2 linked regions of the Lytechinus pictus genome follow. The protein of the gene in region 2 binds, or shares a complex with, the protein of the main gene of each other region. Links are inferred from orthologs where the notes say so. Each region holds a gene or a part of one and is shown on either strand. Other genes may lie near its edges.

Region 1 (16,569 bases), on a different chromosome or scaffold from region 2:
TAACCGTGGTGAGGGAAGCAGTTCCTGACGTATCGTAACTTGCCCTTCTTGACATCCTGCTTGATGGGGTTCATGGGAGCTGCAGTGTCGATCTCAACATTAAAAAAATTAACAAGTATGATGTTAATAGTGAGATCCATCAATAAATTAACAATATGGTGGTTGTGATGGAGAAGGAGGAAATATGATGATGATAATGATGGTGAAGATAATGGTTGTAAATTCATAGGATCTTAAAAATAAAATGAATATTAATAATAGCAAAAACCAACAAAATATAAGGTAGCCATTAAAAATAAGAATGATCCTGCTTATGAAATAATGGTTGCAATGGCAACAACAATTATGATGATGATGAGTGCAATATTATCATGATAATTGTCAATGATGACAATGATGTGATGACCTTTTTTTAAATAATTTGAAAGGAGCAACAAAAACAAAGCTGGCAATATTCAGAAAATGACATGAATCTGAGTGGAGGATGGAATTTACATTCAACTTTCAAGCTTTAATAATTGGTTAATTCATGTTTGGAAGTAGAAACATTTATCAAGTGCTGCAAGTAGAATCACAAAGTTATGCTGAATATAATCAAATTTGATATGATGTGTCTAAGTATCCCACTGATAGCCAGCACAAATATCATGTCCAGTAATTGTGCAGGTAGGAAAAGGTGTGGGTAGGACCCATAAACTGAACTTATCTACAAAGGGTACATGTAGCACATCACAATTTGCTCCACATTTTCTTAAAGACTGCTAAACAAAATAGGGAGCAGATTTTTTTACATAGGACTGTTAAGAACTTTATAGTTGAGAGCTTTATCTTGTGACCAAATATGCTTATCAAATTTGGTAAGCACAATAATTCCCTGCTTCGTTGAGAAGTCATGTTGAACATCATACCTGATTAGATAAATTGTTTGCAAGCACATGTCCCTGGTTTGTTTAAACATGTGTACTATTAAAAAGTGGTCTGCATTTTTAGACTACAAGAGCTGAATGTGAATTTTGTACTCCTGGCTTCTCCACACCAGTTGAAATGTGTAAAGGACTCATTTCTTGATTTACAGGACAAGTCCACTCCAACAAAGAGTTGATTTGAATAAAAAGAGAACAATCCAACAAGCAAAACACTGACAATTTCATCAAAATTCGGATGTATAATAAAAAAGTTATGACATTTTCCAGTTTCGCTTAATTTCACAAAACAGTTAAATGCACATTCCGGTCGGTATGCAAATGAGGAGACTGATGACGTCATCCACTCACAATTTTTTTTGTATTTTATCATATGAAATAGAGAATATTCTATTTTTCTCCCCATTCTCGAGTGAAACATCGATTAATTCCTCCCTGAACATATGGAATGAGCATTGTATATGATTCAGTCAAGTTGGTCCTTATTGTCAAATCTATAAAAAATCAAATATTGTATTTAATTCAAACAATAAAAAACAAAAGAAATAGTGAGTGAGGGACATCATCAACTGTCTCATGAGTTGTGCATATCACTGTTTAATGAAAAATAAGCAAAAATTTAAAATGTCAAAACTTTCTTATTTTACATACGATTTTGATGAAATTTTCAGCGTTTTGCTAGTTTGATTTTTCTCTATTTATGCAAATCAACATTTTTCTGGGGTGGACTTGACTTTTAAGCGTTAATTTGTGTCTGTGTATCTGCAGACTTGTGATATTAAGCAGAGCTGCCAACCTTTTAAAGTACAAGGTAGTAATCCAGCAGCTCAAAAGTCATAATTTTGAGATAAAAGTCATAATTTCATACATGCAAGGTAGTACTATAAATTTCTAAGAAGAGGTAATACTAGTATGCACACTGGGTTCCAAAAGAAACTGATAAAACTTTACGAGGGCACTGCACAAATTTCACTGAGTCATAATGAACGATATTTTGTTTAAACACCTCTCATTTTCATTGGTCTTTCTTTTGCCATTTTGTGACTTTGGATTCTGAAACAAATTGATGTGAGGGGCTATAGCACCTCTGTGATTGAACCAAACTCTTAATTATTGACATACCCTAATAGTAAAGATTATTGAAGCTAGCCTGTGTAAAATATTGTTCATTTTGACTATTAAAGTGGGATGTACAGTGCCCTTGAAACTAGATAGAACAGATGCACAATGCTCATAAATGCCAAGTTTGCCAACCCTACATGATGGTTGTCAGGTATATTCATCTAGGGTGCTACATATACATTACTTTTGTGAAGCACTAGCTTGCCTTGTCAGGCAAGTAAATTGTACAACTACGCAATGTATTACTATGTGTTTATTAGATGTGTACATACCTATTCTACTTCAAAAGCAAAATAATTAAAGTCAAAAGCATAATGGCATAATTTGGCATGAAAATCATAACAATTGTGACTTTTTCTAAATAGTTGGTTGCTCTGGATACCGGTAAGCACATGACCTTTGCACGGTTATGACCCGTCACCCATCCTGTAATTATTTTTTTTTGAGGGGGGGGGGTTAAATCCATGGCCTTTGATCCCCCCAATAAACCTCAAAGTCACTTTGTACCCAATCGCAGAAAAGAGAAATTGCCCTAGAAATACAGAAACTTTAGTAGGGCCTGAAATTGTCAAAGATTTTACCTTTCGTTCATGAACTTGAAGTGAAAACAAAATAAAGAATACTTGGAAATCTAAAAGGATGAATGAGAAATACCGGGGCCCCATCTTACAAAGAGTTGCGATTGATCCAATCAACAACTATGGAAAGCCAGCAAAATCAACATCTAAAATGCATGTTTGTTCAAAATATCTTCTAGATACCGGTATGAATATTCATACATGCATCTTTTTTCTTGATAGTTCAAAGTGCCCATCTTTGTTTCAAAAAGGACACTTTGCAAATTTCCTACAGAAAAAATCGATCGGATCAATCACAACTCTTTGTAAGACATTGACCAGGGCTCCGTAACAAAGATTAGCGATCAATCGCTAAATGAACTGACCAATCAAGATCAACATTACACGCGCATTCGGCACAAAATACTGACCAGGAACCAATCAGAAGTGTTCTCTCACATTTGCTATTCATCGCTAAGATTTGTGTTACGGAGCCCAGGAGTGACAGATTTGTTCCAACTTACCTCCATCTTGGCATTGGTCCATCGTGGTACCTCCACAACCATGTTCAATATCTGCTTCTGTAAATTACAATTAGAGGAATAGGGAATCAATTTTGTTCGTACACTGAATTAATAAAACAAGAAACTTACTTTAGCTTGTACATCATAATCAGTTTAAATATTTCCTGTCTAAGAAAATATTTTGGCATGCGTATCTTTCTAATTTTATTATTTTACAGATTCAGCTTATATTAATTCATATTAATTATTTTCATGATGCTTTCCTCTGTTGTAACTATACCCGTAAAGAAATCCATGGTGTCAATAAAATTTCAGTCTGACTACCAACAAATTCTTATTAGATACATTGCATCTTACAATTATTTCAGTGGCTCTGTTTTGTTTTCCATGGCTTGGGATTTTTTATTTTTTTGGTGACATTGCTTTTAGATCCAATTACCATTGATCCTTTGCCTTGTGATCGAGGAATAGGGTTCAATTTTAAGGTCTATGATTTGATCATACTGTCAGATATCCCACATAATTATTAGAAAAAGAAACCGCTAACTCTAATAAATTAAATGTGATACATGTACTTGTACATCGTAAAATTTGCAGTATCGATAAATCTTTATGTATAGCAGTAATAAAGATTTGACTATCTTTGGCAGAGCTTTGCATGTTTGAACCATTCATAACATCAATATACCATCTGATTACTCCAACAAACATTAATCTTAATAATTTATGTGTGAATAAATACTTGAGCTTTGCCTTAACAAATACAAATATAGTAATTACTGCCGTGTGTGTGCACTCTAGGTACGCTGAAATTTAATAATTACTGATAACTTTTAAAGGTCAAGTCCATCCCAAAAGAATGTTGATTTTAATCAATAGAGAAAAATTCAACAAGCAAAATGTTAAGAATTTCATGAAAATCGAATGTGAAATAACAAAGTTGTGACATTTTAAAGTTTTGCTAGTTTTCACAAAATAGTTCAAATCCAGTGACATGCAAATGAGAGAGTCTATGATGTCCCTCACTATTTCTGTTCTTTGTTTGAATTATACAATATTTCAATTTTTAGAAACCACTTTTACAATAAGGACTAACTTGACTGAACCATACAATGTTCAAACCAAGGTAATTCTTCATGTTCATGGAGTAATAAATCTGTCTTTCACTTGACAATGAGGGGAAAATTTGAATAATTCATATAATAAAATACACAAGAAATAGCGAGTTGATGACGTCATCAGTCTCCTCATTTGCAAACAGACCAGGATACATGTGCATATTACTGCTTTGTGAAATTAAGCGAAATTTTAAAATGTCATAATTTTCGTATTTTACATCAGATTTTGATCAAATTTTCAGGGTTATGCTTGTTTTGTTTTTTTCTCTTTTTATTCAAATCAACTTTTTGTTGGGGGTGGACTTGTCCTTTAATCTTTGAACATATTGGAGAACTCAGAACTCACTAGAATTTAATGAAGCAAATATTCAGCAAGAGCTATATTGACTACAATTGCCCATCCAACCTTATAAGATATACACATAGTAAGGCCTTATATTAAAACAAATGTGAAGATATATGTATTTTTTTTATTGCAACAGCAAGTTTGATGTTAACCTTCTGTTTTTATTAAATATGAAGAATTCCAAGAGTGCAATTATTGTAAATATCACAGAATCAATATTTTTTACAAGAAAATGTGGGAAAATAGATGGGCTATGGCATGATGTAAGAAAGAGAACCATAAAAGATATGTAAATTTATGATGATGTAAACACAGAGCAAAAAAAAAGGTCATCATACAAATTTTTAAAAATGAGAGAAAAAATGAATTAATAATTATCTTACATCTTTATCAGCATATAGTGGAATGTCATGAAATGGTGAAATCACTTGACCATCGCTGTTCCCTAGAAATACAGAAAAAAAAGAAGGAAAACCAAAAATCTAAATAGGTATCTAAGCTGAAGTGTAGAGGATAGAAATAAGAGTCCACATTTATGATTGATACTTGTAAGAAGTCTGCCTTGATAAGTTGATTTTAATAAAAACAGAAAAATTTGAGAAAAATTTCAATTGGCGAAAGTTTTATGAAAATCAATCTAATATTATATTACAAAGTTTTGATCTTATGATGCCACAGAAAGACAATCAGCTCTTCCATATCTTGTGTCATATAAAATGCAATTTTCTCAAAATTCTGAAATTGATTTCATTTGTGCGATCCTTTCAACTCCTTTGACAAGATAAATAAATTTGTTTATCATATTCCATAAAAAAAGGAAATTCATGGAATTTATATCACACTTGGCGGGGAATATCATGTTTAGGACATTTTTTTTTTCATTTCTCCCTAACGTAACATAAACAGCAAGCATGTGGCCTCCAATCGGGCCCAGTTCACCAACTATTTTCTACAACTTGTCGCCTTCCTACAGTACAGTCAGTCTACAGTTTTATTTTTACACCAGCCTTTATTCCTATGGCTATGATACTACCCCCCCCCCCCCCTTTTCTTGATCTCCGGGACACTGCGGTGCATGGCCATACACAGTATGGCAGTGATTCCAAACTTTGTGTGTCCATACTTCGCAAACGGTCACTATCTAAAAAACTAGCCAATATCCTTAAAATCTGACATCAACGTGAAAAGCGACCTGAAATTACCCTTTGGCATAAGTTTTTTTTTACGATGAGTTCAGTATTCACGAAAATATTGACAAAAGATCAGCAAATTTGTCACCTTTAGTGCCCGTTCCGAAGAAATTTGATATTCTCAACAAGCATCACGATATCATCATTTTGTTTGCAAGCAGATATCATAAAAAAATGTGAGTTCAATATGGTACTAATTCTATAGCATTTTGTCATCAATCTGATATAAATATCTCACCTTTTGAGCTTGAGTTTTTATTTAAATCTCCACAAAAACTTTGGTCCACGAAGTTAGGTCACACTTTTTCAGAACGGTTTTCCACCAAAGCGCGCATTCCTCGATCGGAATAGAATTTTGAGATCGCAATACTGGCAAACGTTTACGATCTTGCCGTGATAGGCCCTAACAATTTCTTTGGTTTTTTTATAAATTGTGAATATTTTGTGGACAAATTTAAGCCTAATGAATACTTTTGAAAAGTCTGAGAAGTTTGGAACCACATCATACACACTGGGGGGGGGGGGGGGCAGTTCCCCCTCCCCAGAAATTTTGAAACTTTACATTTTTGATTTTTTACTAAATTTTTTGCAAAATTCACGAACACTACATACAGCATGCACGATAAGTTCGGTGGGACTAGCCAGAAGGCTCCTAGAGAGTAGAAAATTTTTACTCTCTAAAGTCAGTCACTAACGTGTGCTTACTCACCACGGAGCCAGGGATTGCCTCCCATTCATTCATGTGCATGTACCGCGAAAAAAATTGAAATTTGAAAATTTCGCCCTGAGATTTCTCCTTTCCTTCTAATTCTAAAACAAAAAAAGATCTAGCCCTAAATCATGTAAATGGGATACAACTTCATTTCCGACATTTATATGACATTGATTTCATTTTTAAACAAGAATTCATTAAAAAAAACAAGAAAAATATTATGAAAAGACGGAGAAAACCTGCCGTGATGTTTACGTCGCCATCTTATTTCTTTTTGTTCTTTGCCAAGATACAAGACGCATATCCGATATGCGTCATGTATCTTGACAAAGAACAAAAAGAAACAAGATGGCGACGTACATGTAAACATCGCGATCGCGGCAGGTTTTTTCCGTCTTTTCATAATATTTTTCTCATTTTTTTAATGAATTCTTGTTTGAAAATGAAATCAATGTCATATAAATGTCGGAAATGAAGTTGTATCCCATTTACATGATTTAGGGCTAACGTTAGATCTTTTAGAACGAAAATATAAATCTTGGACTTGGCCTTGGGGGCAAAAATTTCAGTTTTTTTCGCGGTACACGCACATGAATGGGACGCAATCCCACTCCCAAGCTCCATCCATGGAGAGTAAGCACACGTTAAGTCGTTAGTGAATGATTTTCACTCTCTAGTCTAGGAGCCTCAGTCCTGGCTAAGTGGGACTCTGCACTGCCACAGGTGAGTTGTGTTTCAGACTCCAGCTCCGACATGTCAATGACAAATCGCCTCCGGCCTCCTGAGCTGAGCGAGTGGGCGGTCAACTCAAGATACTGACGCCGCCCGGATGGGCAACGCCTGGCCGCGATTCCGACGACCTGCTCACTGCTGCAGAGAAGAGCCGTAGCCGTAGGAGGTACTTACTGAAGAACAGACGGTAGTCGAGCGAATTGGGTGCACCTCTGGGTTCAACTGAATAAGCCATCGCTAAAATTCGACAGTCACTGAACTGAAGTTTTGACAAATCTATTCGAGGTCGAGAATGGCGAGTAAAAGAGATCTTGGAATAAGTTCTCTGGGAAAAAGCAGCCGAGAGGACACGACGGAGGATCGGAGTCAACATGTGGACAGATTTACACGCATGCGCCGATATTAATTAATGGTATCTTTGCAGATAAAAACGATGATTGACAATCTTGATTGTGATATTATTCTGTCCAAAGTACAACTGTGCAGTTCTTCCACATGTATCCGTTGGCTGCATGTACAGATTTGCAATCCAAGTTCAAAGTCCAAAGTCTAAAGTTCATAAGAACTGCTACCGGTGTTTTTTTTCCTTCAATCGATATATCTGCATGCCGCTCGCTCATAACAAAAAAGGGGACACGCCCCCCTATTGCGATTATGCATGTGCATGGTATTTTTCAGTGATATTGATGCACGTGGTATCATGCCACCAAATGACCGATATCATAATTCCCGCAAAAAATACAAAGAGAAATAAAATATTTTCCCTTCAAATCAGGATTTCATTTTTGCTAGGAGCCGATGCAAGTTTTGAGCAGGGGCATCCGATCGATCGAGCGCAGAGTTACCCATGCGCCTTAGTAAATGGACTTTCAAAATGAACCCTATAGTAAAGTTCTTTTTTATGTAAAATTGTGATTGACTATACATGTATGATTTATGCACTCTACATGCAGTGCTTTTCCCCTTCTGTGATTTCATATGGTCCAATACTTAAATTGAATTTGTAGAAAGTTCGTATATACTTTTCCATTGCATGAGGCCCTATCTATAACAATTAAAATGCATTTCCTTTTTATGATATTGTGAATATACGATACGTGATTATGTTTCCTTTTGTATTATTATGTTTCCTTTTGTATTATTATGTTTGTATGAATGTAATGCATGCCTATTTAAACTCATCGCAATTCGGCTATGCCTCAATGATGTTTAATCAATAAACCAGTTATCTATCTATCTATCTATCTATCTATCTATCTATCTATCTATCTATCTATCTATCTATCTATCTATCTATCTATCTATCTATTCTGTCTGTCTGTGTGTTTATCATGATATGGCACCCTTATCAATTATGATAAAATAAGTTGCAGTGATGAATATCTATAATGCATTAAATCAATTGCCAGTCCATTTTTTTCTTCGAGGTCACACTTCGAATGAATTGAGATCTTATGTTATAAAATACAAAACAACACGTGGAAATATCAGATTGCTCATTGAATATTCGTGAAGACATGCATAATATTCATTGTTTTACAGAAATTATCAGAATATCTAAAATGTCATAAATTTTTTATTCCTTGTCCATTTTTCATAAAATTTCGAGTGCTTTGTTTGTCGGATTTTTATTTGTCTGTTCAAATCACATTATTTTCAGCCTGGAGAAGGCCTACGTACCATTTAAGAAAAAAAAAATCGACAAGCAAGCATTTAGCACTGAAAAACAAACAAAAAAATAGAAGACTTCCCCAAAAAGTGAAATGTTACTGTGGCCTGTGTCAATTTAGTCCTAATGACATTTATTTTTATTTTTATAGTAGGCCTTTTCTAGGGGGGGGGGGGTAGAAGACAGTAGCGTACGTAGGATTTTTGAAAGGGAGCAGGGGCGCGTGCCCCGGGCGAAACACATTCAAGGCCCAATGAAAATAGGGAGAGGGGACAAAGTATAAAAAAAGAAAGAAGAAAAATGGAAAGGAGAGGAGAGGGAACAACAAGAAAAAAGGAAAGGAAAGTGGAAAGTAGCAGTGGCGTAGCTAGGATTTTTTTCCTGGGGGGGGGGGGCACTGGGGGGTCCTTGCTTTTTCAGGGGGGCACAATTTTTTCCGTTGTGTGTGTATGTGTCACAAGGGCGGATCCGACTTTCGCCAATAGGGGACGGGGCCCGAAATTATCTTCACCTATTTTTCCCCCGATCAGTCACTTCTTATTTTTATTCTTATAAAACAACAAAAACATGAAATAATCTCATAAGCCTTATAAAAAGTGCGAGCGCGAAGCGCGAGCGATTTTTTTGTTACTTTCATGTATTTTTTCCTGAAAATTTAATATTCTGGGCAATGTTATGTGTGATCCTGAACAAGATTCGTATGTAACTAGATGGTTACTGCGAACGCCAAGCGCGAGCAGAAATTTTTATTAACTGTTCTAGCATTATCGAAAAGGGACCTGTTAAGGACTGCTTACAGTTACCCACGAAGACGGTATATATTTCAATAATGCGAGCGCGAAGCGCGAGCAAATTTTTTTGACATTCCGACCTAAAAAATTGTCATTCTAAGCACTTTTTGTATTAATAAATGGGATAGGTATGTTACTAAACAATTGATGCGAGCGCGAAGCGCGAGAGGAAGAAAATTGAAATTTTAGACCTAAAAGCGGGACACTCTATTCATATTTTGTAAATCATAAAAAGGATATAGTTAATTGGGTATCATTAATAATGCGACCGTAAAGAGTGAGCAGACAATTATTGATATTTTGATGTGAAACTGGATAATTTAAGTACATTTAATATACACAACATGCAGGCTATCGCGCATGTTTTAGATTAAGACCTAGAATCTGGGCAGTATGAATACATTAGTTTAATGGAACATTATGGAATACACGTAGACAATAGGAACTTGGCAAATCAAACAACTTGACCACGCAGCGTGAGCTTAAAAATGCTGATATGTAGACTATATAAAAGTGACATTTTACAGCTAGAGCACTTGAATTTGTTAATGAAAAAAAAAAGATGAAAGCTCGATGTACGAGCTAAAATATATTTCGTATATTGACTTAAAAAATTGCTCCATATCAGCCTATTGAGCAAGATATGAATCTCATCGAAAGGGCAATTCTGGCGCGAAGCGCAAGCAAAAGTTTTGTAAAGTAACATGAAAGATTTGTTTTTTTTTGCAAGTCTTCCCTTCACATTATTTCATTCACTCGTCTTCCTCCTCTTATTTTCCTCTTCTTTTTTTTCTTGTCTTTCTTCTTCTTTTCCTTTTTTCTTTTCTTTTTTTTGGCTCTGCCAATTTTTTTTCAGGGGGGGGGGGCACCTGGGGGGGGGGGCACACCAAATCTCAGGGGGCACGTGCCCCACGGGCCCCCCGTAGCTACGCCACTGGAAAGGAGAGGAGAGGGAAAAACAAGAAAAAAGGAAAGGAAAATGGAAAGGAGAGGAAGACAAGTAGATGAAATAAGTGGAGGGGAAGACTTGGGGGAAAAAAACAATTCCACGTACGCATTGAGTGTTAAATTAAATAGATAGAAGCTTAGAATATCCGGTTTCGAAAAATTATACAAACATAAGTTAGGCCGCATATCAAGTTTTCATTATTACAAATTGATTCTAAAGAAGTGCTCAGAAAAGCTGAACATTTTGGATTTTCCAACCTGAAAATTTGCCATTACAAACACTTGTTGTTGCAATCATACAATTTGATCTATTTTATTACGTTCTGGACCCCTAGGCAGAACAGAGTGGTAATAATTACCAATGTGAGTGGGCAATCTAGCCATTCATATGTATTCATTTTATTTTGTAATTATATCTGATGTATTTTGTTCGTACTTTGCATGTTTTTATGAATGTAGAATAAATACAATACAACAATAATTAATTATGCATGCGCTGCACGCATGCACTATATAGGGTAGGCCTACTGTATATGGTCGGCCGAGTGTGCCTAGAGTGACGTACCCCGGTGCCCATTGCTATCGTAATAAGATGTGGAAATACTATACAGGTAGAATCTACTCGTCCATGGGTACCGGCTACTCGTACTCTGGACCGGGACTAACATAGACATTTCCGGGGGCTTTTCCCGGGGATTCGTATAAGTATAGGCATATTTGGTTTTTTTTTCAGAAACGGACCCATGTCTAAGGATTATTCAACTGCAAAATAGGACCAATGGCTTTCTTGCAATATAGCAAGACCCATGTCTAAGGATTTTTTCTTGTTGTTGCAAAAAACGACCAACTATAGAGCTGCGGCAAATCCCCTTATGCGATATACACGCGAGTACCCCCCCCCCCCCACCCCGATGCAGGTTTTGAGAAGGTATTGCCAGCTAGGACGCAAACGTTAGAGTTGCAAAGGATTCGTAAAAGCTTGAGAAAGAAAAAAAAATCATAAACAGTTTTCATTGTTGCAAAATTTCTTTGGAAATCCTTTTTCCGCGAGCAGTTGCTGCCCTATTTGCAAATATAGTCGTAGGCCTATATAAGTTTTTGCAAACGGTTGTAATTTGACTTTTATCGCGGAAATTTCTCTTTTATTCACTAATGAAAGCGATATGGCTCCTGTATAAAATAGACCCACTTAATAGACGTTAAAAAGTAAAACTACTCCGCTAACGAAAAGCTCACCTAAGATTTTTGGAAGCGATCCCTGCAAAATATTGTCGAAGCTTCCGAACATTATCATTTCTCTTTCTGTGCACTTTTGTCGCATAAAATACGAATTGGACTTTGCTACTTCTGACATTCACGACCTTGCAAAACGCTTTAGCCCCATCATTGATCATGGTGTAGGCCTAAACGGCGCCTAAAATGGTTGTGATGTTCGCCTGCAAAGACACGGCGGATGCCATTACTGTGATCATCATTATACTCATTGCACTCTAAAAAAAGGGTCTACCCAATATTGGGTAAAATGGGAACATGCTTGTTGGCTGGGTAACAGATACCCAATATCTTGTAAATTTTACGCAATATGTTGCGTTGAAATAACCCAATATGGGGTAAAAAAAAATACTCAGCAAACATGCATGTTCCCTTTCTATCCAATATTGGGTAAAATTTTACTCAGTGTTTTTAAAGTGTGGGAAGGCTTATAAAAAGTCTTTCAGAAAATTTAATTTATTCTTGATTTCCACACTGATAGAATTAATGTTGTACAAGACAGTCAAACAAGAATAAGATACAAACTTTACCTTTTGTATATATGCCTATACAGCAATTTTTTTATTAGCATTTAATAACAATTATCCTTTAAAATATAAGAATGTTAGATAACAATATTTGAATGAACTCTAGTTGTTTAAAAAAACATTTCAATTAATACACAAGATTTGATGAAAGAGTCACAAGTCATACTATAAGCCATAATGTAGAAGTCTCTATATCATCACAAAGCATGCTGTTTCTCATTAATTCATTTCATTCATTAAAACCTAAATCTTTGAGATGACTCGATTACTCACGTTACAGAATGATCCGAATGCCATGTTGAAAGACTTGATTAAAATTTTCCCCAAGTTGGAGCTCTAAAAAAAAGCAATTTCACATGCTTGGAGATTTTATTTCATTTCGAGTAAAAATCAACATTATAATAACAATAATAATAGCTTGATGTATAAAGCGCCTTTTGCTAGAGGATACAAAGGGTTGCTATTATTACCCCGGCTGTATATTGATTATCTACATTTTCCTCATTGTTATACTGTCCGCGCTACGTGCTTTTTGAGAAACCGGAACCTTTAAGAATCAAAATGAATAAAACTATGAATATTAGACACATCAAATTTTTCCCATTATATATAAATATACAAAAAAGTTATTACTTTTGAGTTGCATAGCGGGGTTACATATTCTACTGTTTGCTGTAAACTAAATTACTGAAAGTTCATGGATATACTGCATGTCTCCTCAAAAATGTAATTACTCCGCATATCTACTGCAGGGAAGTTGAAACATACTGTTATTCCACCAAAACACTTATAGGCCTACTATGTACTATGAAGCTGTATTGATATCCTTGTTAAGGAACTGTCTCTAAAAATAAATCTTTACTCTTAACAATCCACTGCTTCCATTATTATTTTTGTTTTAAATACTTGTCTCTTTCCTTTGTGATGTATTATAAACATATAAAATATTACAACTCTGGCTTATTATTTCTGAATTATTAATTTTCATGATTTGAGTCTAGCTGGGTTACTTGTTGGGACAAATGATCCTATTACATTAAACAATTTCATAACAAAGTAACCACGATTCGTAAAGCAACTGGAATCATTCGCATTTGATTTACTTTTACCAATTTTTCAATTGTTTTTGATGGCAAGATTTGTTTAACTTGACCCTGGTAGAAAATGCTTATAAATATAATGAAAATAGACTATAGCCCCACACTGCCACATTCGCACTCAAATTCAAAAGACAGCGATACACCTATAGAAATGAGATATCCGTAACTATTGCCATTTGGTCTACACTGGCTTTGTCTATTTTTTCCGTTTGGTCTCATTCCACTTGGTCTAATCGTAGTTGTCCAAAACCAGTTCGTCTACTAATCATTTTGATCTAACTAGGGGCCGATCCAGGATTTTCCGTATAAGGGGGGGGGGGGGAGGCACATGTCCCAGAGGAAAATTTCACCCAAAGTTTCAGATCATTGCGTCCACGGAAAAAAAATTTGATAAGGAAAGAAAAAAAGAAGAAATTTCCTCACTATCAAAGGGGGGGGGGGCACACTTGTAGTAGAACGGCAAATTTACATTACAAGTTTTGATTATGCCTCTCAAGGTGGGGGGGGGGGGGGCAAGGACCGGATGTGCCTCCCCACTGGATCCGCCAGTGGGACTAACTGACACTTACCTCATTTACCAATTTGTCTAATTTCCGACTAGGCTTTAGCCATTTCGTTTAATGTTCTCACTCCACTTCATCACCTTATAGGCCTAATTATGATTAGATATACTTCGATGAAGCGAAAATTAGACCACCTGGAAATAATAATTATAAATGCCTGACTAAATGAAAGTTAATATCAAATTGATATCAAATTCTACAAATTAAGTAAAAAACAGAAACATCACAGAAATCATATAAATCAGTTATAGTGCAGTATTTCATGAATACAGAAGAAATACAAAATATGGGGATGGACATAGTTCTTAATGATCTATGAAGGTCAATACCCCCAAAGTAGACCGAGTAATCAAGTAATGGTTGGACCAAACAGTAATCAGACCAAATTGATAAAAGATTCAAGTGGCATTATAGCCGTGATGGTGTTATGATTTAAAAATTAGACCAACTGCTAACACCAATACCACGAGGGCGTTCGCGGGGGGGGGGGGGTATACCCTGCCGCTGAGGCAGAGGAGTTCCGACACCGGCAAGCAAAATGAAAGCGGCCTTTCTTTTGCTTTCAACAACTGATTTTCCAAACTTTAGTTCCACCTCCCTATAAGATGTGCATCACCATACCCCTTAAGTTCCACCTCCACACACAGCAAAAACTGTGTTGTTAACCGGTGTACATAGAGGACCACACCAGTTGTTTTACACCGGTGTTAAATTGGTGGTGTTAGTTTTACGCCCATAGATGTTATTACAACACCTTTGGTTGTTATATTTACACTCTTTGGTGTTATGTTCAATCTCAAGGGTGTAGTTTTAACACCTCAGGGCGTGGTCCTCTATTAACACCAACTGGTGTCAGTTTTAACACCACAGTTTTTACAGTGCAGGATGTGCACCTCCCCATGCTCAAACTAGCCTACACGAAGTGGATACCAACTGATATCAAAGTGACTACATGCCATTGTATTTTCTAGTTTTCTGAGTAAAGTTGATCTATCTTCTCTTTAAACATATCCTTGATGACGTTTCGTTTATTTTTGAATGTCGGCGTGAGAAGTCCGTTCTCGACGGAGAATGGCTCTGGATGCAGGATGAAATTTCTCACCTGTAAATGCAATCAGTCAAAACATGATCACCTGTTTGAATTTAATCAAATTATCAAATGCAATCAAGTGTGCTAGATGAGACAACCAAATAAATGCAATTGATTATAGTCACATCATGCACTATTCAGTAGACATTGGCAACATTTCCCGCTTCCATTGGACACCTTTTTATTCCTGATTTTTTTTTTTCCTTATACGTATATACCAATTTGAGCAGGAACTAAATATGAATTGAACTATACTTTCAATTCAATTCAATTCAATTCAATTCTTTATTCCATTTCCATTCAAAACATAATACAAATTAATATAAAGTAATACAAATTAATTAAAATTTTACAGACGAGCATTCTTACTTCGTAAAACAAAAAACAGTATAATATTTTTTAAAACCTATTATTTTCTAACATGTAAACCATAACTGTATATGGCCTACTCTGACAAAGGACATCACCATGTGTATGAATATTGTCGCCTTGGTCATTTCAATATCTTTTGTCTCAATCTTTAATCCATGTAATAACTGTGAAACTTTGTTCATTCCTAAAAACAAATAAACTTTCAGGATGAAAACTTTGCATATTATTTCTTAAATGTTTCAAAGTTTGTTTGCCACCGCTGAGAACACATATGACTAGATGTATGCTTACCAACCACAGAAGACATCCTTATGGACATGTTAGACATTATACAGTGCGTATAAAAAAGTTTACACTTAGAAAACAATCCTCTAAAATTATGCATTTGTATTTTCCTGAAAGATTTTCCACATTTTAACATTGGTACAGATCCATTTAAGCAAATGACGATATAACTGTCGAAAAATATTTCCGCTGGTCAGAGTGAGCACCACTTACTTTTGAAAAGTTAGTGAAAAAGGATTTGCGCAGAACTTTGAAATAGTTATGTGAATAAAAGTAGACCTTAATCATGAAGAACACATGTAATTTAGCTAGTAAAATTGATTTGAAGATATCTTTTACCTTTTTTTAAACTTGTTTCCTTGCCCAAAACACTTCAAAGAGTGCATTGCACCCTACCCGACTCCCCCACACACCGAGGCCATCGTGACGATATTTGCTTTACACTGAGCTGTGATTTACTTAAAATGGCTTGATTTTCAATTTGCTAATCATTGTCAAGCTTGGGAAAGGTGTGGAGAAACAAGTATCAAATGAAAAATTAAATGTGAACCCACTTTAAATGATAAAAACTTTGTGAAAAAATGCTGGAGATGTCTGATATAAAATTTTGTTCAGATTCAGTTATGTCCTCAGATCCAGCTGGGACAAAAAAAAAGGTAAAGGTTGTGCTTACTAACACTAAGTGTTGAAATTTCAATTTGGGTGGCAAAATTGTTACAAAATGCTTC
Region 2 (15,940 bases):
TTTCATTCCCTCTCATTATATAAAAGCTTAACGATTGACTTACCAGCTTTGGCTGCTTTGATACACCTGTCAAGACCAATCTTAGCCGGACTCGGTGGGGGCAAGGGGCGCCTCTTCCTGATGGAGCTATGCCAACGAAAACCACTCCCGCCATAGATACGATACTCCTCGCCTTTCATCTTCCACACCTAAAAATCGTCACAGGAAAAAGAAGAGTCTTTACTGATACAGAGCATACGTTGAGACATCCGAGTACAAAAAACAACACTAAAGCATTACTCGTAAATGTTTAAGGAATATTCTGATACATGTGCTACTATACTGACAGAGATTTTCCGTTCACCAGTATTAAATCAAAACAGAAAATCAGTTTTGGTTCTTAACTTTTCACATGAAAATTCACTGAAATTTCAAAATTTCAGAGAGCTTTTTTAGCAGCTGAGAAAAGATTCTATGGTAACTCGACTTCTTTAACCTTAGTATGTTCGATGATAATACTATGACATTTTACCAAAGCTTTGGCCTGGAAGTACTCACCTGATGCTTGATAGGGAAGCAGTATTTCACCCAACTACAGTTCGTTTGGATCTCTTCAAAGTCATCATCCTTCCTCTTCTTGTCAATCTTCTTCCTTTCCTCCTTATCCATAGCCGTAGTCCTCACCATTCTGACGTGACCTAGTCCATCTGCAAAGTAGGAGTTGAACACCACAGGTTTGATGGCGCATTCCAAGACAGAGAGGGCTAGGGCAAAGGCATGAGGCTTGGAGCACATGTGGACGGCTTTGATCCAGTTGTTCCGATGGACTGTCCAGTTGGTGTGCATGAGAGCCCTGGGGATGTTGCTCTCTAGCTGCGTGGTGGTGAGACGAAGCGTGGATATGGTGAGCATGCGATTGCTGTTGGTGCTCCCGTGCCACTTGAACTCGGCTGCAGGGGTCAGACTGAACTTGTTGACCAGGTAGCGTTTGCGATCTCGCTCCTCAGCGTGCTGGGGTTTGTTGAGGGCAAGCCGATTGGTGGTGAACTGATTCTTGTACGATTTATACGTCCCCTCCATGCCAAGCTTGAAGAGAGATTCTGGACGCATGGCGCCCCTTGTCAAAACACCCTTACCGGAGTCATCTCCACCAATGCGATTAATCTCTCCCTTGGAATTAATGACGAGTGTCTCTTCGGTCCTCGGTCTGCCTGTTACAAGGGAAGTGTTTGTACGAGTTGGAATGCTTGTAGTGTACGTTAGATAAGGAGTGGCTTTAGGGGGAGGGGGTTTGTAGTTGGGATTTCTTGACCGTGTCATGACAATAGTTTTATTCTTCTGATCAGCTTCATCTTTGTTCTCTTTATCCCCTTCCTCTTTCTTTTCTGATAGCTCTGAATCTGGGTCACGTTCAGATTGATTGGTATCAGGTTGATCTCCTTGCTCCATCTGCTCCTCACTTCTCATTCCCGTCCCCTCTCTTGTCTCATCTTCTTTGGTTACTGAATCACCAACCACTTCCTCCTGAACAGACTTGTTTGAACTTTTGGCCACATCAACCTCCATTTTTTCTTCATCCTCTTTCTCTTCTTGCCATTCATCCTCCTCCTTCATTCTTGCCTGGGCCTGCGCGATGACGGCTTCTTCCTCCAGCCTTCGCTTCTCCTCTTCTGCTTTCCTTAGTGCCTCTTCTCGTTCAGCCTTCAAAGCATTCAATTCATCTGAAACAAAATAAATGCGCACAGGAGTAAAATCAATTCACAATTCTCGACCCCCAGTCTTGACGCAAATATTGTCTTTAAAAAAAAACCTGAATCCACATCAATGGCTTACAACACCTAAATGTACCATCCAAGGAATTAAAGGAGAATTAAACCACTGAAGCAAGTTAGCTTTATGTGAAAGAAGAAAAATAAAAGAATAGGATCAATGAAAGTTTGACTAAAATTGACGAGCAATAAAAAACTTATTAGGATTCGAATGTCAAGTTCACTAATGGTAATGCTATGGAGATCTATGATATGATATGTACAACTTTCTTATTAGGTAAAAAATTCCCTAAGACCCTAAACCATCTTCTTCTTTTTTTGCTCACTTTAAGGGCTTTAAATAATTCATCCATGATATGTAGTGAAGCCTTTATTACATGTCCTCTCATAAAAAAAGTGAAGACTAGATAAAACATAAAAACAGTGAAGACTAGATAAAACAGAAAATTTAAGAGAAATAGACAAAGTAATGGGGAAGTTGAATGTGTGAGACCCCACAGATCTAGGTTGCATTGCCAAAGGGAAGGTCAAGTTTTAGTGGTCACCTCTATATTCAAAGGCTCAAACTTATATTATTCATTCAATCTTTCAATGATCCATTTCTTGGATTTTTCTCGTTTTATGAATTCAACTGGTTTCATTGGTTTTCCTTTAAAGGGGAATCCAGCCTTGGCCATAAATGCTGTGTGGGGAAGGAGAAAAATAAATGAAACAGAATGGTGAAACTTTGAAAGAAATCGGACAAGCAATACAAAAGTTATAGCTGCTTTAAAATTGAGATCACTAATACTATGTAGATTTCAAATTGGCAACTGGGTAAGTAAATTATGACAAGGGGCAAGGACAACTTTCCCATAGGCCATGTACTTTATTATCAGGGATTTGTGGTTTTCTCCTAAGTACCCATTCCCCTGGGGCAGTCATCCAAATATAACCCATGTAGTATATTGTTTTATGTCCTCATGAAAGAAAAATATAATTTGAAATAAAACTTTTGGGGAAAATGACATTTTAGCCATAATATGTATTGGAGTACATGGAAGAGTAGTCCTTGCCTTACATCACTATGACATCCCATATGCGGCCAATTTGAAGTCTCCATGGGTATAGTGATTACCAATATTTACAAATTTAAAAAATTCATAACTTTCTTGTTTGTTTGTCCAACATTGTTCAAACTTTCACCTTTCAACTTGTCTGATTTTTCTTTTCCTTATAAAAACAAGTTTTTATTTGGGTTGGATTCCCCTTTCATGTACATGAATGTAACCTTACAGAAAACCTGACTGAAACTTTGAACAAGTGGTTCTTCACATCAGCTCACAAGTACTCATCGAGTGAGCACTGTTTCTATTCTGAGGGTCCTTCTGCACACACATCAGTAACTCACTGCCAGGGACATTAGGCTGCATATCAAGACGTTTTTTTTTTACTCAAATGGACAATTTACACAGCAAACTGTCAGCCCCCTGTCCCTCCCAGTAAATCCTTTGTTCTGCATAGCCTATGACTTGTGAATATACAGTATAAGAATGAGGGAAGGGTCAAGAGAAAAGGGGAAAGACCAGAAATAAAATAAACTAAATCAAGTCTGATGGCAACTTTAATAATATTCTTCTGCTCTTAGAAAAAGACCCGGGCAGGAAATTATAATGTAACACAGATTTACATGGAGGAAAGAAAACGGAGGGTGAGGGTGAATTGTGTTTTTGTACTTATAACTCTTACAACTACATCCTATATAAAATCAAACAAGAGGACCTTCTAGTTATTACCAGTTTGCTTACACCAAACATGCGAAAGACTTGTGCATAACTCATAAGTTCCAACGGTACATGTAATAGCCAATGATTAAGCAATAAAATAATGCATTAAATGAGGAATCTGCTATTTCAGCCACCAATCACTACAGATATTGTAAGCCAGCAGCAACAGCAAATACAACAAATGAATAAGCTCTGAGTGGCTGTGAAGGCAGTAGGCTGCTCCTACTTCTCTACAACCATGCTTTGTTGAGCTTCTCAAGATTTTTACCCTTCACAGAAAATAACAGCTTCACAGTCTAATAGATTAAACAATAACCTCCTCTTTAATTTGGTGCTACTTATGAATTTTGTTCATAATTCCTTTTTTTTCACTTTCTTTAGTTAACATAGGCCTACTTTGATTTTAAACAGAAACTAGTTGAAATAAAACTGACAAGCTTTACAAAAGACAGCACCAACCAACCTGTTGACTTCTGAAGCACTGACTTCTGGTTACCCCTTGCGCTGTTGGTCAGCTCCTCTGTCCTCTGCATCTGTTCAAGGATCTCTGCCATACAATCCTGCAGTGCAAGACACAAGTCCTCCTCCCACTTTGTTGCATCCAAAGAATGCATCAATTCTTCAAATTGAAGCTTGGTGGAGTAGTAATATAGCTCGTTCTCACCTTCACTGCATATTTTAAAAGATAAATAGTATCAATGATTATGATATACTGCATGCAAACTTTAGAGAAATAAACCTCCAGTGGCAAGGGTACAGTGTATAATGTTTATCTCATGTCCAATGCATGTTTGACAAATTAAATTCAATAAGCCTTATGTTTATAGCCCATCTCAAATTTACAGGGAGGGGAGATGATAAGTGGTTGGTGGGAAATTTACTTCTGAAATACACATATTACACTTCAAAGGTTTAAGGCAAAATCTATTTCTTATTTCTTCATTATTTCAAAGTTAAATCAGTATAAAAAGGAAATGCATTTGCTCTTAGTTATGTGCCTTCTTGTTTTTAAGACTGAAATATTGTTTACAGATTCTCAAAAGGTCACACCCTTTATAGCCATCAATGTCTAAAGTTAATGGGAAGAAAGACAGATAGTAGGAAGAAATACTCACACAACAATTCTCCTAACAAAGTGCCAGTACTTTCTGCCATGCCTGTCATAACCCAAGGGTTCCTGTCGAATGAGGAGTCCACTCTTCTCCACCTCTGAGATACAGTCATAGACACCAAGAACGCGATGCTGCCTGCACACCGAGCACATCCAGTCTTCCTCTGGTACTTCCACCAAATTCACACATTCCAAGTGATAAACGGCTGAACATGTCTCGCAACATATTAAATCTCCCAATTTATGACACGACCTGCAATGGTCGTCATAGGTTATTGCACCTTCACTCAGAATCTCTTCACGCACTCTGTTCGATGCCAGGAACTGGTCGCAAAGGAGATGCAACACTGTTAATTTGTCACTCACAGGAGCAAAAGGGTAGTTTTCTCCTTCTAGAGCACTTAATGCACCACGGAATTCTTTGTCACTTTCAACATACGCTCTTGCAACTTCAGACCACGTCATATTATCTAGAAACAAGAACTGGACATTGATACTGTCTCGCTGGTCTTGAGGACCAAACGTTGTACTGCTACTTTCATCTTCCTTCACAAGATTGTACAACAGAGCAATGTGGGTTTCCGCTAGGAGCAAACATTGCTCTTCACTACACAAAGCTGCACAAAAATCCTCAAAACGGAATGGAGAGAGTCTTAACTGTTGACTGAAATGCCTAAGAACTTCATACACAGATAGAGCATTCATCATATCCTCATTGTCGATAAGGAGGTCTGTGCTAGATTTTGGAAGTTCAATTGGAGGAATTTCCTCTGGCTCTGCCTCCAGGAATGGCAATGCGAAAGGCCGATTTGTCCGTGAAAGTAATAACCTCTTCTTGGCAGCCGTGCTGCTGTCGTCACTGTCGTCTTCTTCTAGTTCTTCTAATTCATCATCATCTGGTAATTCAGACTGCGAACTATTTGAACTAATCTCATCTTCTGACGAAGATTGCAACAATTCCTCATTGAAATCAACTCCCTCTTCATCTGAACTTTCATATTTTGGCCTTGCCTTTTTTCCTTTCCCTTTCCCTTTTGGTTTTGATTTTGCACCCGGTTTACTCTGTGTTGTGGGAGTCTTACCTCTCCCTCTCCCTTTTCCTGGCCCCTTTCCAGTACTTGTTGTGCTACTGCTTGATGGACTTGCCTTAGCCTGGGGACTTCTTTGAGCCTCTATGACCTCTTGAATTAGCCGCTTGCTCCGCCTCGCAGCTTCACGTAATCTCGGGGATCTCCCTCGGCCAACTGCGCCGGTACTGCTGGCTTGACTTACCGGTGTGCTACAGCGAGAACTTGCAGGACTGGAGCCGTTGCTCTGGCCATCATTGCCCCGTCCAACTCCGGCTCCTCCACCAGATTTCTTTGCATTTCCCGGCGTCTCGTCCAATGAATCAACAAGTGACTTAGGCGGACGTCCACGTCCCCTCGGCATCTTGAAATACAAATTATCGGCTGCTAGCGGGTGCCTGGTAACCTAACGCACACCTAACTTAGGTTTGAGATCCACAAGCTTCGCGGTGAAACACGATTTCGGCATTATATTTACGAATCGCACGCAAGTTCTGCACTGTCCGCCATTTTCTGATGTAGATGACCACGTGACCAATTATGCATTCAATTACCGCTATCGCGATCGATCGCTCGGCGAGCCCCCTTCATGCCCAAGTACATGTTTACAAATACCCAAACATCATGACAAATAATACCTCTAAATTCATAAATGATTGACTGCATCTGATCTACATGATCTAGTGACAAACGTCTGAAATTATAACAAATAATGAATTTTTCATTCCAACGTTATTCCTTTCCGATTATGCTTTCCTATTGGTGCGCGTTTAGTCTGCATATGTGCCAATTTCCCAATTGCATTTTCCAAGCAAATCTGATGCGTTATCCTCTTAACTATGAACCCCGGGTCACAATTATCTAATTTGAACAAGATGTGGCAAAACTTAAGATATAAATTGACGGTGACTACAAATAACCTATTTGCTACCATTTATATTTATGAGACCTTGCGGGGAAACACCTTTCACAACTGATTGCTATAAACCAATCAGCGGTTTTGTTTCATGAACTCGGCCACATAACTTTGCTTGCGGGAGAAATTCAGTGAACTATTTTTTACCGCGTTAGGCGGATGAAGTTAGCAATGATATTGGTAAATCGGTGAAAGGACTACCAATTTGATGAGTGTGAGTCAACCATAGAGATATACTAATAACATCTCTATGGAGTCAACGTGATTACGTACATACAGATCAGTGATCTAATAATGCGAGTTCAAGACAGCATCAGCAATTTAAGAAGTGGTTAGAATTTAGATTGGTTTGCAAAAATTCACTCGAGGAAAGTGACGGTGTGATCTGCATCCAGAGCAGTGACTTGTTCACAGATCGAACTTCAGCGCGTTGTTGTTTTTGTATTTTCCAGTATTTTGCATTGATCTTAATTATGGGATTCTAGCATGGGGAAATGCCTCTCAAACGAGACTCGACAAAGTATTTCTACTTCAGAAAAAAGGAGTACTGAGAAATAATACTTTGCATTCATATATAATACCAGACAGTCAAATGACTATCACTTACCTAAAACAACAGTATTTTTGAGCAAGAGTATATTTTTCACAGGACCAAAAATCAGGAATTCTTTGGACAGAGCATTTATAAAAGAGGCATCTTCTCTGAACCGATTTAAATTACTCATCAATTTATTTTTCTGAATTCATACTGATTTAATCAAATATCCACGGAAGTGTTGATTATTTTAAAGTTACTATAATTTTGTATATAGTGAATATACATTCGTGTTACAGTGTCTAAATCTATATCAATTTACAGAATTTTGCTGATTATTTCACTTTATTCATATCATACATTACCCTCATTGTATATAATTTTGATAGGAGGTCTGCATCTAAAGCTTTGCTTAAAGTAGGCCCCTCCACTTTTTAAATTTTTTTCAGTACGTTTCAAAACTGCACATGCAGATGATTTATATTTCTACTGTAAATGAATATGTACTTTGAGAATTCGTGGAATATGAATATATCAATAAATAAATAAATAAATGAATAAATAAATAGGCCCCATGCATAGAGGTGGATATGTTTGTATTGCATTTAGTTACAAAACTAAAACAACGCGGACGAGACGGACCGTGGAATGGTTTCGATAAAAATTTTATCTAAAATTGATGTGAAGAGTTTGTGAATTAATACTATCATCGATTTCACTTCACGTAATCTGGCTTTTAATTACACCGCTACATGTTGGTATTCTTAGGTTTTATAATATTAATAAGTGTCATGTACAACAAGTGTAATTACTTCATATCCTCCATCAAATAAGATGATCTATATTCCGTTGAAGACTGGTGTTTGGTGACCCTTTTGTGATGAACCTTCTAGATCGTTGTTATTGTATGCTGTACGTGTTTCTTTTTGACATATCACGCAAAATCCGCTCCATTGTTTACTCAGGTACAACGTTGAAAATCATACTCCTAACAAGTTACATAAAGTACAGATTAAACCAACGTTTGACATGTTGGAACACTATTGAATTATTCCTTTCACTCTAGGGTCTTGAAATGCCAGTATGCAACAGAAGCCCCTCCATCCAGTCGTTAGACTGTTAGAAGGACTGGTTCATTTTTTGAAGTGTGGTCGCACAATACATGATTGTTATCCTTTTCGCAGTTTATACAATCGTTACATGTTTCTTTATCATTATGGGTATTTGTCTAAGAATGTATGCTTTTTCTTTAATACACGACATTTGGTCATTCTTTCTCCTCCTTGCTGTTGTTTCTACAATATTCCTTCAAATTATATCTGCCGTTTTAATCTGTGTGTGATCTTGGGGGTTTGTGGGGGAGCATGCACCACCCTTGTTAGGTTTTGAATTGTACACAAAGCGATTTACTGCAAAGAACTTCTTATGCAGAATTTTCTTTTTTCATGCTAATGTATCAAATTAATTCCTCCTATTGTCTTACTTTTGGGAGATTCTTACACAAATGGTATATATGAACATTATTTACATATTGGACTTATTGATACATATCCAACACAATACAGTATCAGATGTTTATCATTCTTTCGTTTTATTTATTTTGATTGCTGTCCCAATCTTTTTATATCGAAGTATCTTATCGTAATGTCTATTATTAGTTCATTTGCTATGCTTTGCGATTTAAAGGGCTTGCATGTTCCTCCAATAACCTTTCAATTGTCTCATTATTGCTGGTGCTTGTTGGTTCTTCTTCCACCTCATGGAAATGTATATACATGGAAAATATAGACGCATTTTACGTCTTCCCTCGAAGGGTTAATGTCTGTAATATTGCCTAAAATACTTTGCTTATTTTGTTCCTGTTATATAGTCAGCTCTGAATATTCTCCCTCTTTTTATAATTTGAAGGTTCCTAGGATTTAAGTGCTACTGTATATTTGTTTTGTTTTTGTTTTTGTGTTTGTCGTTATTTGTCTGTATTCGTATCTGTCATTCTCGTAATATCATGTCTTGTGTTATTTCGTTTAGCTGATCTGCATACTCCTCCCTATCTCTGGAGATCCCCTAGACATCCTTTGTGATGGCTGTAAACACAAATTTCCCATTTTCTGATATAGATAATGATGAATTACACGATACTTTCCAGGCTGCCTTTAATTCGAAGTTTGATGAACATGATGAATGTAAAAATTCTGTTTTTCATGACTCCGTAGCTCAAACTCTCAATGCACAAGCTAATCTTGATTCTCTTTCTGATCCTAATGATAATACGTATCAACATACCCCCTCGCTCTATTTTACTGATAAACAGATAGCGTCGAAACAACTTGACAACAGTAACTTTCTAATGCTACATTGCAACATTCGCAGTGCCAACAAAAATTTTGAATCACTTCGTTCCCTTTTATTGAATTCTAAGCTCTTTTGTTCTGTGATAGGTTTGTCAGAAACGTGGTTTTCCCACTCTACTCAACTATCCTTTTATACGCTGCCAGGTTATAATTTGGTCACAAATAATAGAATAGGGAAATCAGGTGGAGGCGTTGCTCTTTTTGTATCCCAACAATTCGATTACAGGTTAAGGCCTGATCTTACTCTAATGAATGATGCTATTGAAACACTTTTTGTTGAAATTCTTATGCCCAACGACAAAAATATTCTGGTTGGAACGATTTACAGGCCGCCTAACTCCTCCCACGATGACTTTTTAAATACATTCCATGGGTTATTGGCACTCCATGAGATGGTCAATGAAACGTGTTTTTTACTCGGCGATTTCAATATTGACTTACTAAAATACGATACTGATACTTTTGTTCAAACTTTTTCGGATGTAATAATGACAGCAGGTTTCCTTCCTTTGATAACCAAGCCAACTCGAATCACAGGTACATCGGCTACTCTCATCGACAATATATTTACAAATACCAGAAGTACTCTCTCTACGGGAATAATTCTTTCTGATTTGACGGACCATTTTCCCATATTTTCGCATTTTAAACTAGATACCAACGCCACTGAACACAAAGTTGATCATAATACTCGACGTGATTTTTCTGAAAATAATATGAATCTGTTCAATGAAGAGTTAGGAAATGTTGACTGGTCAGGAATTTACAGTATTCAAAATGCCGAGGATGCATTTGACGCTTTTATGAATAAATTGAATCCATTAATGAATAGCTCTTTTCCCGTAGTGCGATTCAAACGCTCTAATTACAAAAAGGTTCCAAGGTCCCCATGGATTACACCTAGCATTTTGCGCTCAATAAACAGAAAGAATAACCTTTACTTAAAAACTATTTCAAAGCCTTGCGACAGTAATAGAAAAAAGTACACTGACTACAAAAATATTCTGACAGGTATACTGAGAAAATGTAAAAAGAATTATTTTCATAATCAATTTGACCTCTATAGAAACGACGTTAAAAATACATGGAAAGTTATAAAAAACGTTATACAAGGTAACTTCAGAATGTCTACGCCCACGAAAATAAATGTTGATGGTGAATTGGTAGAGGATCCCTTTGCCTTGGCAAATGTTTTTAATGACTATTTTGCATCCGTAGGCCAAAATCTTGCCAGCACAATCCCTGCCTCTTCTAAACACTTCACATCTTTTCTTAATGTCCCTAATCCAAATTCGATATATTTCACACCAACAGACGTAAAAGAACTAGCTGATATAATTTCTGGACTAAAGAATAAAATGAGTTCAGGATGTGACGATATAAGTAACATTCTCCTGAAAAGAAACCTGATACACATTATTAAACCTTTGACTTATATCTTTAATTTGTCTCTTTCTACAGGAGTTGTACCTTCTTCATTAAAGCAAGCCCGAGTAATCCCCATTTTTAAAAAAGGCGACAACACCGTGTTGGGAAATTATCGCCCCATATCATTATTGACATGCCTTTCGAAGGTTTTGGAAAAAGTAATTTTTGTACGCACGACAAAGTTTCTTAATATACATAAATTGTTTTATCCCCTGCAGTTTGGTTTTCGCGAAAAACATAGTACTACTCATGCCCTGTTGTCAACGATTAATAAGATTGCCAATGGAATTGACAAGTATGAGCATACTGTTGGGGTGTTCCTGGACTTCTCCAAGGCTTTCGACACAATCAACCATGATATCCTTTTATACAAGCTTAATTATTATGGAATCAGAGGGATAGCCTTGGAGTGGTTCAGGAACTACCTCAGCAGTAGGCAGCAATATGTTTCCATAGCAAATGTAGATTCCCCTCCCAAATCTATCTCATGTGGAGTCCCCCAAGGCTCAATCTTGGGTCCGCTTCTTTTTTTGGTCTACATTAATGATTTTTATAAATCATCAAGTACTTTATCATTCATTCTTTTTGCCGACGACTCAAATATATTTTTTTCTCATAAGGACCCCAAACATTTACTTGACACACTTAATAAAGAATTAAAACTAGTCTCAGAGTGGATCAAAGCCAACAAATTATCGCTTAATCTCACTAAAACAAAATACATGCTCTTCAGCAATATCATTGATGAACTCCCAGGTAACATTATTTTTGATAATATTAATATTCAAAGAGTATTAAGTACGAAATTTCTAGGAGTAACTATCGACGACAGACTGTCATGGAAAGAACATATAGATAACACATGCAAAATAATTTCACGGAATATTGGAATTATAAATAAAGTTAAATTCTATTTTCCGACTCGTATATTATTAAACTTATACTCTACGCTGATACTCCCGCATTTGAACTTTTGTATTATTGCATGGGGGAGTTGTGCTGATTTTCATTTGAATAGACTTTTACTACTTCAGAAAAAAGCTTTGCGCGTTATTTGCCATTCTCATTATCGGGCACATACGAATGTTCTTTTTAAAACTCATGGAATTCTTAAGATACATGATCTTTACCATTATAATCTTGGATCTTTTATGTTCAACCTTAGTAAAGATGAACTACCAGACGTATTTTATTCTATGTTCACACGAAATATCAATGTACATCACTACCCTACAAGATCTGCTGGACTTTTCCATTTACCTAGAACGAGGACATTATTAACAAACAAACTGTTTATATCTTCTGGTATCAAACTTTGGAATTCACTTCCGCAAACTTTACGAAATAAGCCAACTATTCATAGCTTCAATAGAGCACTTAAAAAAAATCTAACCAATAACTATAACACTCACATCATTCATCCTACTTAGGATATCTTGTGGATCTTCTGTTCTTCTGGATTCCCCCCTCCCCCACCCTGCCTTTATTTCGCTTCTTTTCCCGTCTCCTTTCTTTCGCTCTACCTGTTTTTTTTTTGGGTTTTTTTCTTTCCTTCTTCTTTCTTTCTTTCACTCGTTTTTGTCCTTTGTTTTGTTGTTGTCGTTGTCTTTTTTTTCAATTTGTCTGTTCTTGTAATACTTCGTCTGTCTTGTTTTGGTATAACTTTTTGTCATGTCTTGATCTTGTACCGTTCTGTCACGTCCTGTTTTCGTAACGTTTTGTCTTGTGTGTCCTTTTCACTTTTTCTTCATATCTTGTAAGATAATCCAGCCTTGTTTATTTTTTATTTGGGAGAATATGTAAAAAAAAAAAAAATACATTTAACAAGGATTTACATATAATTTTTACATATAATTTTTACAAGAAAGATATGATGACTTGTTTATTGTATCTATTTTGAACTTCAACAAGAACGATATGATTAGTATATATATATATATTGTTTTTTGCATTAAGTCTTATTTATTAAAGGAAACCTTCAATAACAAGCTTTGCTTTCCAGAAGTTTCCTATTTCATTTCAAAATGTTATATTATATTTTGCTTTACTTTGTAACTTTGTTGAAATTTTGGAATGAATAAATTCGTTGTCAATCAATCAATCAATCAAAAAAAAAAAAGGGGGGGGGGCAGTGTTGCCTATAGCTGTTCGGTCTTTAGAGGCATTTTTGCCTTGCAGGGGCGGATCAAGCCTTTGCCAATAGGGAGGGGGGCGAATTTTTTTTCAGCCATATTTTCCCCGATCGGCCGCTCGAAGTTGATTTTTTTTCTTTGAAGGGGTAGTCCTAATAATCACTTCTTAGCTTTATTCTTATAAATCAACATAAATATTTAATAATCTCATAAGCCTTGTTTAAATGCGAGCGCGAAGCGTGAGCTAATTTGGTTTTTTGTTTTAGATTTATGTATTTTGTCCTAAAAATTGAATATTCCGGGTAATGTTTGTGATCGTGAACAAGATGTGTATGCAACTAAATAATAACTGCGAGCGTACGTTTTGAAGTGATTAAAAAGAGCCCTGTTAAGGACTGCTTGCAGTTAGGCATTAAGACGTTAGGCCTACACATTTAACAAATCAAATAATGCCAAAGAATGGAAATTCTAAACACTTTTTGTAATCGTGAACAGGATAGGTATCAAGTAAACACTTGATTCGAGCGCGAAGGGCGAGCGGAAAAAATATCGAAATTTAGACCTAAAAACGGGACATGTTTTGTAAATCATGAAGATCGATGAGTAATTGGGGATCTTCCTACATTAATAATGAGAGCGTAAAACGCGAGCAGAACATTTTTGTCTCACCTGCATAGCAGAGTGAGACTATATAGGCGCCGCTTTTCCGACGGCGGCGTCGTCAACACCAAATCTTAACCGAAGGTTAAGTTTTTGAAATGACAGCATAACTTAGAGAGTATATAGACCTAGTTCCTGAAACTTGGCCATACGGTTAATCAAGTATTACTGAACATCCTGCATGAGTTTCATGTCACATGAGTAAGGTCAAAGGTCATTTAGGGTCAATGAACTTAGACCATGTTGGGGGAATCAACATCAAAATCTTAACCTAAGGTTAAGTTTTTGAAATGTCATCATAACTTAGAAAATATAAGGACCTAGTTCATGAAACTTGGACATAAGGTTAATCAAGTATTACTAAACATCCTGCATGAGTTTCATGTCACATGACTAAGGTCAAAGGTCATTTAGGGTCAATGAACTTAACTTTTCGCCTAACAACCATACAGAAGGGTAAGAAGCATAAACTGAGAATGCAGTTTTTGTATGATTAATAGGGGAATCAGTGCATCAGAAAATATAAACGATGGATGAGTACAATAAACTGAACAATGAAGAACAAACGACAAGTGTATCACACTTTGCAAAAGCGAATGTTACCTTGGAAATTTATTTTTTTCATTAAAAAAGGTACAGTAAATTAACTTTAAAAAGTATTAATTGAAAACAAGAATACAATATTGTTGGAATTTGGCTGTCATGCATGCAAAAAAGTCATCAGATCGATGGTAATTTTTAAATGTGTTTTTGATGTTTTATTAGAGAATTAAATAATTTATGATACAATTCTTCACAAGTATTGTAAACTGCTAACTAAATATATATCATGTTGGCCTGCGTTTGTTGAAACGTTTATTTAAAAAAAGTGGGGAGGCGGGTTGGAGTCCCGCTCCAAGTTCCACGGCCATGTTTCTAGCAAGTTGTATAACTTTGTGATAGAGGGAGATCAATCATCAAAGGCGTACCGCATGCCAAATTTCCTAAGGCAAAGTGAGCGAGCCGAAAGATTAAACTTCTTTAAATTAAAATATATTTTGGCATGTTGTACTATCGAGGTATCTCACCCTATTCCTTTCCCTTTCTTTCATAGCCCCATTCATCTGTATGCCAGGAAGTCCAAGTGTGTTGGGTGATTTTGAATTGATGAAATCGTTTTAATCTGAATTTGTTTATATAATAATATATTTCAAACGCAAACATACTACAAAAACAATATAACATCAGAAAATGCATTAACATGATATATAAATCAGACATGTGACATCATTCATCTAAATAGAATTCATTCATAATGAAATTCGATATACTTGTATTGAAATAGTGAACCACGTAGTAACAAATTTTGGCCTACATATATTTGGGAAAAAATCTTGGTCGATACAATATAGGCCTACTGAACAGTGGTATATAATAGGCCTATTAAAAGTAGGGGTGTGGAGGTGCTCAGGTATGGCGTTTTGACAGGGCGTTACACTACCCCACCCCCCAAAAAAAAAAAAATAATAATAAAAAAAATAAATAAATAAAATACAATGAAAAAAATAACATTAACAAAAATCATTCAAAAAAATGAATACATGTAAATAGATCTAGATAAAAACGGTAATAATAAAAACGAATAGAGGAAAAAAATAGAAGGTAAATATAAGGAAATGAGAGAATTTCCCCCCCCCCTATGAAAAGAGTAAGAAATTGGGGAAAAAATCAATTAAACAATGAAAAATTGAAAATAAAATTCAATCCGCATGACGTTAAATTGACAACAGTGCTTTCTTTTGGTCGGATAGTTGCGTTCCTCTAACTAAGTGAAAAATTGTTCATTTTCTTTCACGCATCGTCAACGCGATTAACTAGCAGCGCGAGCGCTTTTAGCGAAAATCATCCAGGCACTGCGCCCAGAGTGCAGGGCTAGGCTACGGGCGCGACGACGTGGCACGCGTGCGTGTACTGAGTACTGCATGTGCGACGTGGACGTGGTATTTGTTAATTTTGTGTAGGGGGAAATTCCACAACCATGAGTGGCACTTCTGGAATGTTTAAACTCAAACCATTCTACGATTTTGACAGCACACAGATTGAACTCCCAGGCTGCATGTTCAAGATGTCTAATATTCAAGGGAATTCATCGCAAACGAACAACGAAGAGGTGAATATTAATGTCGTAAGCAGTTATGAGTTAACTAAAAATGTGGACCGTCTAACGCACGTAAGCGGAGCGCGGTC

What was found.
Region 1: nucleosome-remodeling factor subunit BPTF-like (region 2) and inorganic pyrophosphatase-like share a complex: the UniProt entries of both Drosophila melanogaster proteins name them as parts of the NURF complex. The link is inferred for Lytechinus pictus from reciprocal best matches to the Drosophila melanogaster genes E(bx) and Nurf-38.

What each region holds. Positions count from the first base shown.
Region 1 is NC_087262.1:17,326,691-17,343,259, reverse strand, and holds the start of inorganic pyrophosphatase-like, read right to left. Parts: upstream 7,807-16,569; 5' UTR 7,598-7,806; coding exon 7,399-7,597; intron 5,036-7,398; coding exon 4,974-5,035; intron 3,184-4,973; coding exon 3,127-3,183; intron 93-3,126; coding exon 1-92. UniProt on the Drosophila melanogaster protein: Component of NURF (nucleosome remodeling factor), a complex which catalyzes ATP-dependent nucleosome sliding and facilitates transcription of chromatin.
Region 2 is NC_087254.1:2,975,880-2,991,819, reverse strand, and holds the start of nucleosome-remodeling factor subunit BPTF-like, read right to left. Parts: upstream 6,668-15,940; 5' UTR 6,642-6,667; intron 6,278-6,641; 5' UTR 6,057-6,277; coding exon 4,630-6,056; intron 4,184-4,629; coding exon 3,978-4,183; intron 1,701-3,977; coding exon 538-1,700; intron 189-537; coding exon 44-188; intron 1-43. Other genes in the region: aminoacyl tRNA synthase complex-interacting multifunctional protein 2-like, read left to right, coding at 15,732-15,863. UniProt on the Drosophila melanogaster protein: Histone-binding component of NURF (nucleosome remodeling factor), a complex which catalyzes ATP-dependent nucleosome sliding and facilitates transcription of chromatin.